Canis lupus familiaris: one gene and its partners. The protein of the gene in region 3 purifies or fractionates together with the protein of the main gene of each other region. This does not show direct contact. Links are inferred from orthologs where the notes say so. Each region holds a gene or a part of one and is shown on either strand. Other genes may lie near its edges. The genes, in order: GNPAT, SYMPK and BSG.

Evidence for each region.
Region 1: the proteins of BSG (region 3) and GNPAT purify together in Homo sapiens (affinity purification with mass spectrometry; 3 studies listed by BioGRID and IntAct, counting the BioPlex papers as one, with this or other methods). This does not show direct contact. The link is inferred for Canis lupus familiaris from reciprocal best matches to the Homo sapiens genes BSG and GNPAT.
Region 2: the proteins of BSG (region 3) and SYMPK purify together in Homo sapiens (co-immunoprecipitation; 3 studies listed by BioGRID and IntAct, counting the BioPlex papers as one, with this or other methods). This does not show direct contact. The link is inferred for Canis lupus familiaris from reciprocal best matches to the Homo sapiens genes BSG and SYMPK.

Annotation. Positions count from the first base shown.
Region 1 is NC_049225.1:8,558,861-8,563,649, forward strand, and holds part of GNPAT (dihydroxyacetone phosphate acyltransferase), read right to left. Parts: intron 1,349-4,789; coding exon 1,166-1,348; intron 1-1,165. UniProt on the Homo sapiens protein: Dihydroxyacetonephosphate acyltransferase catalyzing the first step in the biosynthesis of plasmalogens, a subset of phospholipids that differ from other glycerolipids by having an alkyl chain attached through a vinyl ether linkage at the sn-1 position of the glycerol backbone, and which unique physical properties have an impact on various aspects of cell signaling and membrane biology.
Region 2 is NC_049222.1:110,490,378-110,495,166, forward strand, and holds part of SYMPK (symplekin), read left to right. Parts: intron 1-784; coding exon 785-989; intron 990-2,323; coding exon 2,324-2,474; intron 2,475-3,336; coding exon 3,337-3,572; intron 3,573-4,534; coding exon 4,535-4,616; intron 4,617-4,789. UniProt on the Homo sapiens protein: Scaffold protein that functions as a component of a multimolecular complex involved in histone mRNA 3'-end processing. Specific component of the tight junction (TJ) plaque, but might not be an exclusively junctional component. May have a house-keeping rule.
Region 3 is NC_049241.1:58,428,080-58,432,968, forward strand, and holds the start of BSG (basigin), read right to left. Parts: upstream 3,251-4,889; 5' UTR 3,183-3,250; coding exon 3,116-3,182; intron 1-3,115.

The DNA of each region.
Region 1 (4,789 bases), on a different chromosome or scaffold from region 3:
ATAGCCAAACTGTGGAAGGAGCCTCGGTGTCCAACGAAAGATGAATGGATAAAGAAGATGTGGTTTATGTATACAATGGAATATTACTCAGCTATTAGAAATGACAAATACCCACCATTTGCTGCAACGTGGATGGAACTGGAGGGTATTATGCTGAGTGAAGTAAGTCAGTCGGAGAAGGACAAACATTATATGTTCTCATTCATTTGGGGAATATAAATAATAGTGAAAGGGAATATAAGGGAAGGGAGAAGAAATGTGTGGGAAATATCAGAAAGGGAGACAGAACATAAAGACTGCTAACTCTGGGAAACGAACTAGGGGTGGTAGAAGGGGAGGAGGGCGGGGGGTGGGAGTGAATGGGTGACGGGCACTGGGTGTTATTCTGTATGTTAGTAAATTGAACACCAATAAAAAAAAAATAAATTAAAAAAAAAAAAACAAAAAACTACTACTAGGACGTCTGGCTCCTTCCCCCTGATAGTCTGATTTAATTCATATGAGGGTGAGATCTATGTACAGGGATTCTTGGAAGTTTCTCCAGCAATTTTAATGTGAAGTGAGGTTTAACCATGGGGAAAAAGTCATTTGCTCTGCTAGGAATACTTCTTTACCCACTTCATCTGAAAAAGCCCTAACCATCTTTTTGGCATCACTTAAAAAAAATCACTTTCCTAGTTCCCTACACAAAAGTATTTGCCCTATAAGTAATTAATGCCCCTGTACACTGGACTCTTACTAGCATGTCATGTATCATATTTCATTGTAATTGACAACATAACTGTCATCATTCCCTGTCAGACAACAGCTGTCCCTTGAACAACATGGGGGTGGGGTGCCGATCCCCCATGTGACTGAAAATCCACACGTAACTTTTGACTCCCCCCAAACTTAATAGCCTACTGTTGACTGACAGCCTTCCTGATTAACACAGTTGATTCATATGTATTTTCAATGTTATATGTATGATATACTGTATTCTCACAATAAAATAAGCCAGATAAAGCATTTTTAAGAAAACTATAAGGAAATCACATTTACAGTACCATACTGTATTTATTGAAAAAAAAAATCGATGTGTGAGTGGACCTGTGCAGTTCATTCCTGTGTTGTTCCTTGTTGACAATGAACAAACCTGGCTGGGGTTGAAGAGGGAATCACTTACCTGTTTAATGACATAATGAACCTCTTCAGAATTGAGAACACTACATTTAATATCACTTGGTTTGCAAGGAGTAATTCCCTTATAGACAAGAGGTGTGTAGCACTTCATTGCAAATTTCAAGTCACTGACATGCCTCCTCTCCTCTAAAATATCTTCAAATTCATCCCATTTTTTGAGCTCCTTCTGTGGGTAAGGCAAATAAAAGAAAGTCATGCACATACTGTAAAGTAAATCAGGAAGGATCGGAGACTACATTACATTAGTAAGGTTTCATCTTTGCCAACATTTTTATGCTATGGCATATGAACAAGAGCAGAGTGCACTGAAAATAGGCTTTCCTATACTAAGAGGAGAAATGTAATGAAAATTGGGGTCAATAAATTGATACTGAGTTATCATGATATTTTATTATTTCTGCTTGCAATCAATCTTTGTAAAGCCAGGACCCCTCTGGGAAAGTTAACAAAGGATAATAAAGATTGAGACATTAAGCTCTAGAATAATCTAATCAACTTTATAGTCAATTTTATCTGATCAATTTTATCAAGCACAATGATAAATTTGCCTCTTCTACTTAGCTTTAAAAATTAAAGCATAAAATAGAAATTCAAAATGATGTCAAATCAAATAAAACTACATGGGTTTTATAAATATAAGGAAAATTTCCTTATATTTCCTTATAAATTTAAGAAAAATTCACTTAAGAAAAAAAGTGTCCTCCTAGAAGCTACTGGTGAGCAGTCTGATTTGCTATTCCAAGCACTATTCCTTAATATGGAAACGATCCTCACAACAAAGGGGAAACCAAGGTATGGAGAGGCAAAATAACTCACTTGGGGTTCCTCAGCTCGCCAAGGGCAGAGACATGTTTCAAACTCAAGCCTTATGGCTTCATAGACCTTGCTCCTAACCACTACCCTATACCACTCACCATGTTAATTATGGAAAGTTTGGAAACATATAAGTAAATATACATTGCTCACAATTTTACACCCCAGGAATAACTACTCTTTACCACTCCTTAGTTTCTTTTTTTTCATTCACAGCTACACAAATACATAGCTTTTATTCAAAATGTGGACCATACAAAATACAGTTTATCTTGCCTAAGTATGTTATGGGCATTTTCCTGTATTAATAATTGGCTTAAAACATTTTAGTGGATGCATTTTATGTGCCCTAGCTTCTTCAAATACCTTTTTTCCTTGGTGGATTGAAGGGCTAAGGTTTAGACTTTACCCTCTTGTAGGACTGCTGCTGAGATGGCAGGGATGCCTGGGTCATGCATGGTCCTGCCACATCCCTCTACAGGCTGTAATGAGGAGCCAAAAGCCACATACATCCTTTCTCCCTGGCTTCCATGGGTTTTGCTGACACAACGGTGTCTTCTCTTCAGTGTTGGGCAGACCCTAGGAACTTACATCTTTCCTGCATGTTGTGCGAGCAGCTGTCAACTTACTAGGGGAAAAATGCTTAGCAATTCTGGGGCACTCAAATAGCAATTAGGTCATTTTTACTTCTTTACTTTATCTTAAACGATACAAAGTTTAATCAAAACGATTCTGATAAAATGTTTTAAAGGCAAAAAAAAAAAAAGTATTTTTCTGATTACCAAAGTGATATATGTTCATTATAAAAATCTGGAAGACACAGTAAAGCACAAAGAAAACTAAAATCACCTGTCATCTGATGACCCAGGGCCCATTTTAGTGAACATATTCCCTCCCCTGACACACATACATTTTGAATTGCCACATGATTTTTCCACTTCATGTTATAAACGCTCCCCTTTAAGTTTCTTCCACTATATTTTTAACAAGAGACATTCGAATTATTTTTCATGCATTGCTATTATGAATGCAACAACATTTCTTCTGAATTTCAATATCAAACCCTGCTTTTTTTTAGAGATTTTATTTATTTATTCATGAAAGACACAGAGAGAGGCAGAGACATAGGGAGAAGCAGGCTCCCTGTGGGGAATCTGATGCGGGATTCGATCCCAGGACCCAGGGATCACAACCTGAGCTGAAGGTGGATGCTCAACCACTGAGCCACCCAGGTGCCCTCCTGCTCTCTTTCTACTTTTCAAATTCCTAAACGCCCCCAGCAGCCTGACACCATTCTCAAGGACTCCCTCTTTCCCCTCTTCCAATCCTCCTGAAATTTTCCTACTTTGGTTTTTCATTCATGACTCTTGGCACAGCAGAAGATCCACCTCATTTTTCTAAACTAGCGATTTTCAACTTGGGAGGAAAAGTTCCAACCAAAACTAAAACATGTCTTCCTTCCTCCTACTTCTCTTGATGTTAACATCTCCAGCCCTCTTGTCTGTGTGAACAGTACTGAATCCTCGCACCAACTCAACTGGTTTTAGGTACTAATTATACATGCTGTTGAATCTCCTGCTCTGTTCTCCCATGTGAACTCCTGATGGACACATTTAGTGTAAACACTTCATCTTTGGCCTTTCCAAAACTGAACTTCTTTCTCCTCTGCACAGTCTTACAACCTGTTTTTTTTTTTTCCAGGCATCTCAACAACTGCTGTACCATGTATAATCCTTTGCCTTATTCTAGATCCTTCCTCCCTGATCCTTACATGTGATCCATCTAATACCGTGCAGGTGGCCTTCAAGGACAGAACAGGTCTATTCCTCGGTCATAAGTCCAGCCTCTGTACTTTATCACTATAGCCTCCTCACTGGTCTCTTTGCCCCTTTGAACCAACCCACCAGGCTGCCATGTGCTCTTTTCAAAACACAATTCTGACCAAATCGTTCCCTGCTTAAAATAATTGAATGACTTCCCCACCTCCTTCAGAATTAAGACCTAAGCCACTTCTGGTATCAGACAAGAAACTCTGACCTGACCTGTCCTTCCCTTTCTAGATTCACTGGCCCCCACGCTCAATAGCAAATGATTTGCATTTCCCCAACACAATCCATTGTTGACTCGCTTCTAGGCCTTGGTGCATGCTCAACTCTGGGCCCCAAAGGCCTTTTCATTCCTCTGTCATCCTTGCTCAGCCATCACTCTGCTGTGGAACCCTCCTTGAGATGCCCACAGGGAATGACTCCGCTGTCCTCATTGGAAAATCTTTACCTACTACCTATAGCTATTAGGGTGTGTATTCATAGCTCTGCAATCAATCACAAGTCTGTCTCCCTAAAATGCAATTATCTTGAAGATGGGAAACACATGTCCTCCTTCTATTTCTCAACATAGAGCTGTGCTTGGAATATAGCATAATTGAACAACTAAATGCTGAAGTAACAAAATGATAACAAATGTTAAGCTAAGAACATGACTAAGCATAATGAGAATATAAACAGCAGAGCATTTAGGAGTTTCAACATAAAAAGGGTAGCATCTAAAACATGTGAAATATTCAAACATGAACATTTTTATGCCCACATACATAGAGAATATATAAGGGAAAAGCTTCTCACTGATGGAATTCTGGTGTAAAACTGCAACATACCATACTCTTGGTTATAAGTTTCAAGAACTTTCTCCAATTTCACATTTCTCATTAGTAAAATAATAGTTTATGTAGACTCAGACTTGGTACAATGCAACAAACTATCATTATAAATTATATAATTTTAGGAATGAAAGGGGA
Region 2 (4,789 bases), on a different chromosome or scaffold from region 3:
ACAGATCACTTCCATCTTTCCAGAACATTCCTTCTTACTCCTATCCAGTCAGCACTTAGAGCATCCCACCTCCTGAGATAATCACTTTTCTGCTTTCTGTCTCCCTAGATTAATTTTTCCTGAACTTCATATAAATGGGATCATAGAGAGTCTGGCTTCTTTTGCTCGGCATAGGTTTTTGAGATGCCTGCATGTTGTCATGTGAACCAGTGGTTTATTTTGTATTGCTCAATAGTGTTTCCTCATGCAAATAGGCCATTGTTTGTTTATCCACTCTCCTGTTGATTGACCTGTGGTTCGTGTCCAGCTTTTGACTGTTGTGAATGAAGCTGTACAAGTGTTTGTGTATAAGTGTTTTTTGGGATTTGTTTGGGCTGTGGGGTGGGGGTGGGGGGTTGTTGGGATTTTTTGTTTGTTTGAGTATAGTTGGTGTATACAAGTTTTGGTGTACATGTGCCCTCCTTTATCTTGAGTATATACCAAGGAGTGAGATTGTTGGGTCATAGGTTAGGGTATGCTCAGTGCTACTAGAAACTGCTCATCAGTGTTCCACCATGGCTGTGCTGTTTGATACTCCCGCCCACAGTAAATGGCATTTCTAGTTTGAGCCCTGGTTGTATGCAAAATGAGGATAAAAAGTATGCCTGTTTCAGAATGGTGATTTGCAGACTTAAATGAGCTTTGTGTGTATAAGGCTTAGACTAGAACCTAGCACACAGGAGGTCCCTGGATGGGAGCAGAGGGGTAGAACATTCCTGGAGCCCGTTTGCTACCTCCCCCTCAGGTGTGGAACAGACCAAACAGTGCAAAGAGGAACCCAAAGAGGAGAAGGTGGTGAAGCCAGAGAGCGTCCTGATCAAGCGGCGCCTGTCAGCCCAAGGCCAGGCCATCTCCGTGGTGGGCTCCCTGAGTTCCATGTCTACTCTGGAGGAGGAGGCGCCCCAGGCCAAGAGGAGGCCAGAGCCTATCATACCTGTCACGCAGCCCCGGTGAGTTCCCTGGCAGGTGCAGGACTGAGGGCCTGGGTTTTATTTATTTATTTATTTTTTTTTTTTTTAATTTTTATTTATTTATGATAGTCACAGAGAGAGAGAGAGAGAGGCAGAGACACAGGCAGAGGGAGAAGCAGGCTCCATGCACCGGGAGCCCGATGTGGGATTCGATCCCGGGTCTCCAGGATCGCGCCCTGGGCCAAAGACCGGCACTAAACCGCTGCACCACCCAGGGATCCCAGGGCCTGGGTTTTAGTGTGTACACTAAGTGCATGTGTGTGTGCATGTGTTAAAGACAGACTGACAAACAGATAAACAGGTAGGGCCAGATGAGGATCTGTCTGATTCCCGAGTCAATGCCATACCACGAAACCTTGTCATTTTCTTTTCCATAAAAATACCTCCTTATTTATGTTTAAAGTTGGGATGATGGTATCTCTACGGATCAAGGGAGAATTAAATGAGTTCATAGTGATAGGTAATAAAATTAGATAATCCATGGGGATCCCTGGGTGGCTTAGCAGTTTAGCACCTGCCTTCGGCTCAGGGCATGATACTAGAGTGCCGGGATCGAGTCCCACATCGGGCTCCCTGCATGGAGCCTGTTTCTTCCTTTGCCTGTGTCTCTGCCTCTCTCAGTCTCTCATGACTAAATAAATAAAATCTAAAAATAAATAAATAAAATTTTCCTTTAAAAAAAAAAAGATAATCCTTGAGGTTGAAAGTGAATTTGATGTAAAATATTTAGCATGATTCCTATATGCTAAATGCTTTATATACTTTATACAGGATGACAACAACCGGTAGTACTACATGACATACATGCTACTGGTTGTTGTCATCCTCCTCTTCATTATTATCCAGCTTAGAGACCAAAAACTCCTGCCAGTCCCTGCCCCTCCCCAACCAAGACCTGCTGTCTGGGCCTGATCCTGAACTCTGAGCTCTCCATTCCCCTCACTCCCTCCTCCAGTCACATGGGCCCTTGGTTCTCCTTGAACAGCCAGGCAGGTCCCTACTGGAAGGCCTTTGCACTTCCTGTTCTCTCTACCTGGGAAGCTCATTCCCCTGATATTTGTCTGTCTTGTCTGCTTGCTTCATTCAGATCTGCACTTCCACATAGCCTCCTCAGAGAAGTATTTCCTGAGACACACTTACAAAAACAAAGTGGCCCTCTTCTTATTACCCTATTCCCTGCCATGCCTGAGTCACAAGAGAATTAGAGAAGCAGTATAGTGGGGGGTGAGGTTCTCTATATGGCCTGAAGTGGGTCTGGGCTCCAGAAAGGATGTTTTCAGTCACCGTCTCCCTTTCCCTACTCTTTCATGTAGGCTGGCGGGCGCTGGTGGGCGCAAGAAAATATTCCGTCTGAGCGATGTGCTGAAGCCCCTCACAGACGCCCAAGTGGAGGCTATGAAGCTAGGCGCTGTGAAGCGGATCCTACGCGCGGAGAAGGCCGTGGCCTGCAGCGGGGCGGCCCAGGTGTGCTCCTGTCTCCCTAGCCCATGCTTCCAGACTCTCTCCCCATGAGCCTGCCTCACAGCCCAGGGAAGAGACAGCCCTGGGCTCAAACCTCCCAGGCTCTGGGTCCCAGCTGGGCTGCCCACCAGCCTTGCATGCCTCTCTTCTGTCCTCCTCCAAACGGGGGCAGCAGCAGCAGCTTCACACAGTAATGAGGAGGAGGAAACATACGGACGTGCACATCTTTTGCTCAGCGTGGGGCTGGCTGCCCAGGAGAGCCCTGCAAGTGAGGGCTGCTATTGTGTTCTATCTTCCTGGTGGTAGATAGTGTTCCTCTTCTTCTGTGGATTCAGATGGACCAGGTCTAAATCCTGATTCTCTCATATGCTGGCATTGTAACCTCAGCCAAGTGACTTTCCCCCCATATTCCCCCCATTTTTTGAAGTTTAATTTTAATTAACCAAGAAGTATATAAAGATATCCTCTCTGTTAAAAAAGAAAAAAAAAATTTCCAGGCCATAGAGGCCCCATAAGTCTTCTTTGGCCCCCACCTGCATCCCATCTGCTGCCTCAGAGGTGACCAATGTACAAGTTAGGGGAAGCCTTCAGGATCTTTCTCTGTGTACTTAAGTATATAGATACTACTTTTACAAACTCAGTTTTATTCTATGATGATTGATTTCCATACGTACCTACCCATTTTTTCTCTCCCACACAAATGAGACCTACGGGGTATAAGATTCTTCAGCTTGCCTTCCTTGCGTAACCCCCAGGTCTGCCCTGGAGGTCCCTGAGCCTGGGCAGGAAGATGTGCAAGGCACAATCATGAGGTGCCTGGGATTGCCCAGTGCCACACCAACACATACACCCACTCTCCTGTCAGGTGCGCATAAAGATCCTGGCCAGTCTGGTCACACAGTTTGACTCGGGCTTGAAGGCCGAAGTCCTGTCCTTCATCCTGGAGGATGTGCGGGCCCGCCTGGACTTGGCCTTCGCCTGGCTCTACCAGGAGTACAACGCCTACCTAGCAGCCGGTGCCTCAGGCACCCTGGACAAGTACGAAGACTGCCTTATCCGCCTGCTCTCCGGCCTGCAGGAGAAGCCAGACCAGAAGGATGGGTGAGAGGGACAGTCCTGGCTCTCCTGTGTCCTGCCTTTCTTTTGTGGTTTGATCACCTCCCTCTTCACCAGCCAAATCCAAGTGTCCATCCCCAAGACTCTCTGCTCTCCCTGCTCTCTGGAGACACATACAAGGCAGATTCCGGGTGGGCTCTGGGGCCTACTCCCTGGGCTTATTCTCAGCTCTGCTGGTTGCCCTCTGAGCCTCCATTCCTGTAGATAACAGTGCCTGCTTCATAGGCTTGTTTCTGAGGTTGGCTTCTCCCCAGCCCCATCTCACCTGAATTGCTCCTGTAGCTTCCCTCCTTGTTCTCAACCTCCTGCTGATCTATCCATTCGCAGCAACCTGGGTGACATTTTAGAATGTAAATACTAGTTTACCCACTAAAAACCTTTCCTGATTCTCCACTCTTAGGATAAAATACAGCTTTCTATCTGTGCTCTATGAGACCTGCATAACCCAATTCCTACCAACCTCTTTACCTTCTTTTTCCACTCTTCTACTCCTCACTTCCCCCCCCTTGAACATGCCAAGTTCAGAGCTTGGCAGTTCCTGTTTCTGTACCTGGAATGCTCTCCCCACAATTCTTTGCATGACTGGCTCTTTCTCATCCCTTGGCATCAACTCAGTGTTACCTCAAAACAGCGGTTTTTGTCCACCACATCAGAAAAGTGGTACCTGTCCTCATGCTCCATCATTCTCTCCCATTGCTGTAGTAAATGACAAAAGTTAGGAATCCCCATTTTGACAAAGGTGGGAAACTGAGTTTCAGAGAGAGAAAGTCTCTGCCTAAGTCCCCCAGCTGGCAGGGCTCGAACCCTGCTCTGTTTACCTCCAGAGCTCTGTATCCAGGGGGTTGAGCAAGCTGTATGTGACGGACAGCCCTGCCTGCTCCGAGCTCCAGCAGGATTGGGAAGCTTCTCTGCCTTGCAGCCTTTCCCTACCCCTTCTTTTCTGACAGGATCTTCACTAAAGTTGTGCTGGAGGCACCACTGATCACCGAGAGTGCCCTAGAGGTGATTCGCAAGTACTGTGAGGATGAGGTGAGGACAGCCAGCCCATCTCCCTCAGGCCCTAGGATCGTGATGCATGCAGGAGTCCTGCGGGAGGGGGCGGGGGGCACAGGCCTGTGTTGGGGGTCTGCAGAGCACACGGCCTAGACTTGTGGCAGGGGACTCGGTGAAGGACCCAGTCCTTCTGTCCAGTACCAGATATG
Region 3 (4,889 bases):
CGGTGCCGTCTCTACACAAGGATCACCTCCCAGTAAGCCGCATTTCTCAGGAGTCACGATTTCCCAAGATTGCAAAACCAACCCCTCTGTGCAGAGCCGGGAGCGGTGAGTCAGGGCACGAAGCGAGGCCAGAGAGGGGCCTCCTCCCAGACAGACAGGGCCTCCTCTCCAGAGCCTCAGGACTCGCGTCTCTGCCGTGTCCCCTGACCCGGAGGCTGCTGGGAAGGTCGGATCTCGGCCCGGCTGCACCCCTGTCTCCCGGGAGAGAAAGTAGTGCCCAAGGCCACAGGCTTGAGGGCTACTTCCAGGAGGGGGCAGGGGCTGCAGGGGCTCAGAGAGGGGCCAAGGCAGGGCATCCCCATCCCGTCTCAGAGGAACCACAGGCTGACACCCCTGCCCTGACCGAGGCACCCCAGGAATTCACAGGGGCAGGAAGGAAACAGGGAGAGAGCCTGAAAAGCGAAGACTCTGTTTTGGCCCAAGTGACTGTGACCCACGTTCTCAAGTCAAGTCACCTTCATCTAAAAACAGCCACCCCTCCTCCACGCCCTGAGGCAGCCGGGCAGGGCACCCAGCCAGGCAGGCCTTATGGTAAACAGCCCAGGAGCTGGGAGGAGGCCCCAGCACCCAGCCTCCTCCCACCCACCTCGGCAGGCAGCTCTGCTCAGGTAGGAGGAGCAAGAGAACATTTCTGGGATGCCAGCCATAGGCTCTGGGCCTCCCCCCTCCCCTCCATCTCACCAGGAGGCGGCTCCCGCTCCCTTCACCTGAGGCTCAGAGGCCAAATCCACCGCCTGCAGGACTCAGCTAGCAACCTGGGGCCCGCCTGTGCCCTCCCCAGCAGGCCTGCCAGGACGATGGGACCCTCGACAGTCCCAGTCCCTGTCCCTGTCCTGGGCCTTGGCCAACACGGGCGCCAACCTGCCAGGCATGTGCTGCGTGAGTTGAGGAAAGCCACTGCTGGCAGCGTCCCCTGAAGCAAGCGTCTGGGACACTGACCCAGACAGGAGAGGCGCACGCTGTCAATAATTCACCCGTCCCAGGGGAAAAAGGACCATGGCATTCCTGGGAGTTCCCGGGAAAGGTGGAACTATCAAAGGTGATACAAAACAGGGCCTGGGGGCGGGGGGGGGGGGGGGGCCTCAGTGGGTGAGCGTCTCCTTTGGCTCCGCTCTGATCCCAGGGTCTGGAGGTCAAGCCCCATGACAGCAGGGAGCCTGCCTGTCCCTCTGTCTCTGCCCTCCACTCCCCACTCGTGCTCTGTCATATAAGTAAATAAATAAATAAAATACTTAAAAACAAACAAAGAGGGATCCCTGGGTGGCTCAGCAGTTGAGCATCTCCCTTCGGCTCAGGGTGTAACCCTGGGGTCCCGGGATGGAATCCCACATCAGGCTCCCTGCAGGGAGCCTGCTTCTCCCTCTGCCTGTGTCTCTGCCTAAAAAAAAACAAAAAACAAACAAACAAAAACCACTAATGAAATACATGTCAAGATATTTCATTTAAAAAAAAAAAATTGGGATCCCTGGGTGGTGCAGCGGTTTGGCGCCTGCCTTTGGCCCAGGGCCCAATCCTGGAGACCCGGGATCGAATCCCACGTCGGGCTCCCGGTGCATGGAGCCTGCTTCTCCCTCTGCCTGTGTCTCTGCCTCTCTCTCTCTCTCTGTGTTACTATCATAAAAAATAAATAATAAATAAATAAATAAATAAATAAATAAATAAATAAGAAGCAAGCACAGACACGAATCCCAGGTGGGCTCAGTGCAGAGACCGCCCACCCGCTACAGGCTGCGGGAGAGGGGGCAGGGGTCCTCCCGGCCTCCTGGCTGGAGCGCTGGTGACTGAAGCCAGGAATGAGGTAGAGACGTGCTTCCCCCTCTGACAGACGGGCGAACTCAGGAAAAGCACGAGTCCTCCTCCACGCCCCGCGGGCCGGGGCCACCAGCCACGCAGAGCGACTCCCCAAGGCTGGCGCTGCCAGAAACAGCAGCCTATTCTCCGCGTCCGGCGAGCCTGCGGGCTCCTGAGTCCGGCAGGGACCCGCTGGCAGTGGATAGTGGGCAGCGCGCCCGCCAGGGCCCAAGGCCCTCGCCCGGAGGCTCTCATAAACCGTCTGAGGAGGAGGAGGAGGACGGAGGCCAAGCGAGTCAAGTGGGTCAGGGGTAAGCGGGTGAAGCTCCGCGGGAGGCCCAGACCCTTCCTGCACTTTGTTCCCTACCTGCCATCCCTGGAAATCTTTAACCCAGAGCCACACGGGAAGTCTCAACCCCGGGAAGAACCCGTCCTGCTGTGTGTCCCCCGACACTCGGGCTCCCACCCAGCTTCTTTCTCCCCGTCGGTCCGACCCCCAAACGCTGCCCAGTCCCCAAGGCCTCCGCGGAACCGGACGCTGTGTGAGCTGAACACAAGGCTCTGCACGCTCCCTGCTCCCTGCCCGGACCCGGGCTGCCCGGGCGACCTCGCGGCGACCTTGGGGCACCTCCCCTCCGCAGCCGGGCCTCAGTTTCCAGCCCCGGAAAAGGACAGGGTGGGCAGGACGCCACCTCCTCCCCCGGCTCTGCAGGCGGACGAGCCCGCCCGGCGCCCAAGGGCTCAGCGCGCCGCGCGACACCGGGGGCAGGAGCCTCCCGAGCAGCTCCGGGCCCGAAATCCTGCCAAGAATGACAATCCCTCCAGGCCCCGCAGGCTGCAGGCAACCCCCGCCCAGACCCCCGGGAGCCCCCGCGCCGACCCCCGGGAGCCCCCGCCCCGACTCCCGCGAGCCCCCGCGCCGACCCCCGCCCCCACTCCCAAGAGCCCCGCGCCGACCCTCGGGAACCCCCGCGCCGACCCCCGGGAGCCCCCGCCCCGACTCCCAAGAGCCCCCGCGCCGACCCCCGCGAGCCCCCGCGCCGACCCCCGCCCCCGCCCCGAGCCCCTGCGCCCCGCGCCGACCCCCACGAGCCCCCGCGCCGACCCCCGCCCCGACCCCCAGGAACCACCGCGCCGACCCCCGCCCCGACCCCCAGGAACCACCGCGCCGACCCCCAGGAGCCCCCGCGCCGACCCCCAGAAGCCCCCGCGCCCTCCCCGCGCCTCCCGCTCCGCCCCCGCCCGCGTCCGTCCCGACGCTCACCTGCCCCGGAGCCGCCCCCGGCGCCCAGCAGGGCCAGCGCCAGCACCACGAGCCCCCGAGCCGCCATGCCGCCGCCGTCCGTGCCGACCCCGCCGCCAACCGCCGCCCGCGGCGCTATAAGAACCTGAGGGGGGCCCGGGCGCGCGCGCGCAGGGCGACGTCGCGGGGCGGGGACGCGCACGGCACGCCGGTCGGCCCTCCTGCGCACGCGCGCGGAAGCACGTATACACGCGCTGGCCCGAGCGGGCGCGGGCGGACGCACCACGTGACCCCGGAGGCCCCGCCTCGCTGCCTGGGGGCGTGGCTGCGTTGCTAGGAAACGGGGGCGTGGCCTGCGCTGGGCCCCTCCTCCCTTTCTGCAGCCTCAGACTGTGACGTCAGAACTGGGGGGGAATCCTCCCAGGTGGTTGACAGCTCGCTTTATATCGTGTGTGTTTTATCCCAGTACGGAAGGGGAAAAAAGCATTAAGGGAGGGGGTTAGGGATCCCTGTGAGCAGGTGGGACGTCGCGCTGGGCTGGGGCGGGCTGGCGGATTTAGCAAATAAAAATACCTGGATGGCAGTTAAGTTTGAATTGCAGATGGAGAATGAGTAATTTCCTGGTACAAGGATCCCGGGCAGTATCTGGACGCAGTTATGCCAGGAAAAGCATTCGCCGTTTATCTGAAATTCAGATTAACTGGCTGTGCCGCATTTTGCCTGGAAAACCTACCGTGAGGTCCCTATGTTTTACAACAAATACATTTTATTTTTTTATTTTTTAAGATTTTACTTATTTTTTTATTTTTTAAGATTTTATTTTATTATCTTTTTAAAGATTTTATTTATATATTCATAAGAGACACACAGAGAGAGGCAGAGACACAGGCAGAGGGAGAAGCAGGCTCCATGCAGGGAGCCCGATGCGGGACTCGGTCTGGGGACTCTGGGGTCACGCCCTGAGCCCAAGGCAGACGCTTAACCACTGAGCCCCCCAGGTGCCCCTTTAAGGTTTTATTTTTAATAATAGTGGTATTCTCTACACCCGACGTGGGGCTCGAACTCGCAACCCTGCGATCAGAAGTCGCGTGCTCCGCCCAACCCACCCAGCCAGGCGCCCGTACCGCAAACACTTTTCGAAATGACAAAATGATTTCTTTTTTTTTTTTTTTTTTGACAAAATGATTTCAAACAAAAACCAGGTAGTGTCACCTTGACGACTTTGGCTCAGGCAGTGGTTTCTTATATACGACAGCAAAAGCATGAGCGACAATCAATATCTAAACAGAACTTCATCAGGATTAAACAGCTGGTGCTTCAAAGAACTGCAAGGAGGAAGTGAGGAAATGGCCCGCAGGCCGGGAGAAAGCACGGGTACATCACGTGTCCCAGGAGGGCCTTACATCTAGAAAATATAAAAAACACTTACAACTGGATTTAAAACACGGACAAATAATCCAATTAAAAACAGACAAAGGACCCGAATGCGACACTTGTCCAAAGAAGACATGCACGGGGGGCACTAACCATGAAGAGGTGCCGTCGTGAGCCATCAGGGAACGCAAATCACAGGCGGCCCTGCTGGAAGCAAGAAAATCACAAGCGTTGGCGGGCGAGGACCCAGAGCCCCCCATGCGGCTGAGAGGAAGGGACGGGGACACGGGTGCAGCCGCGGCGGGTCACGCCCCAGCAGTTCCCGCTCCACCCAGCGCCCCGACTGCTGTGTGTGCACCCCAGGGTGGGCAGCTGCACCCAGGCTCCCCGCATCCCCCGCAGCCCCGGTGCCTCTTCCCAT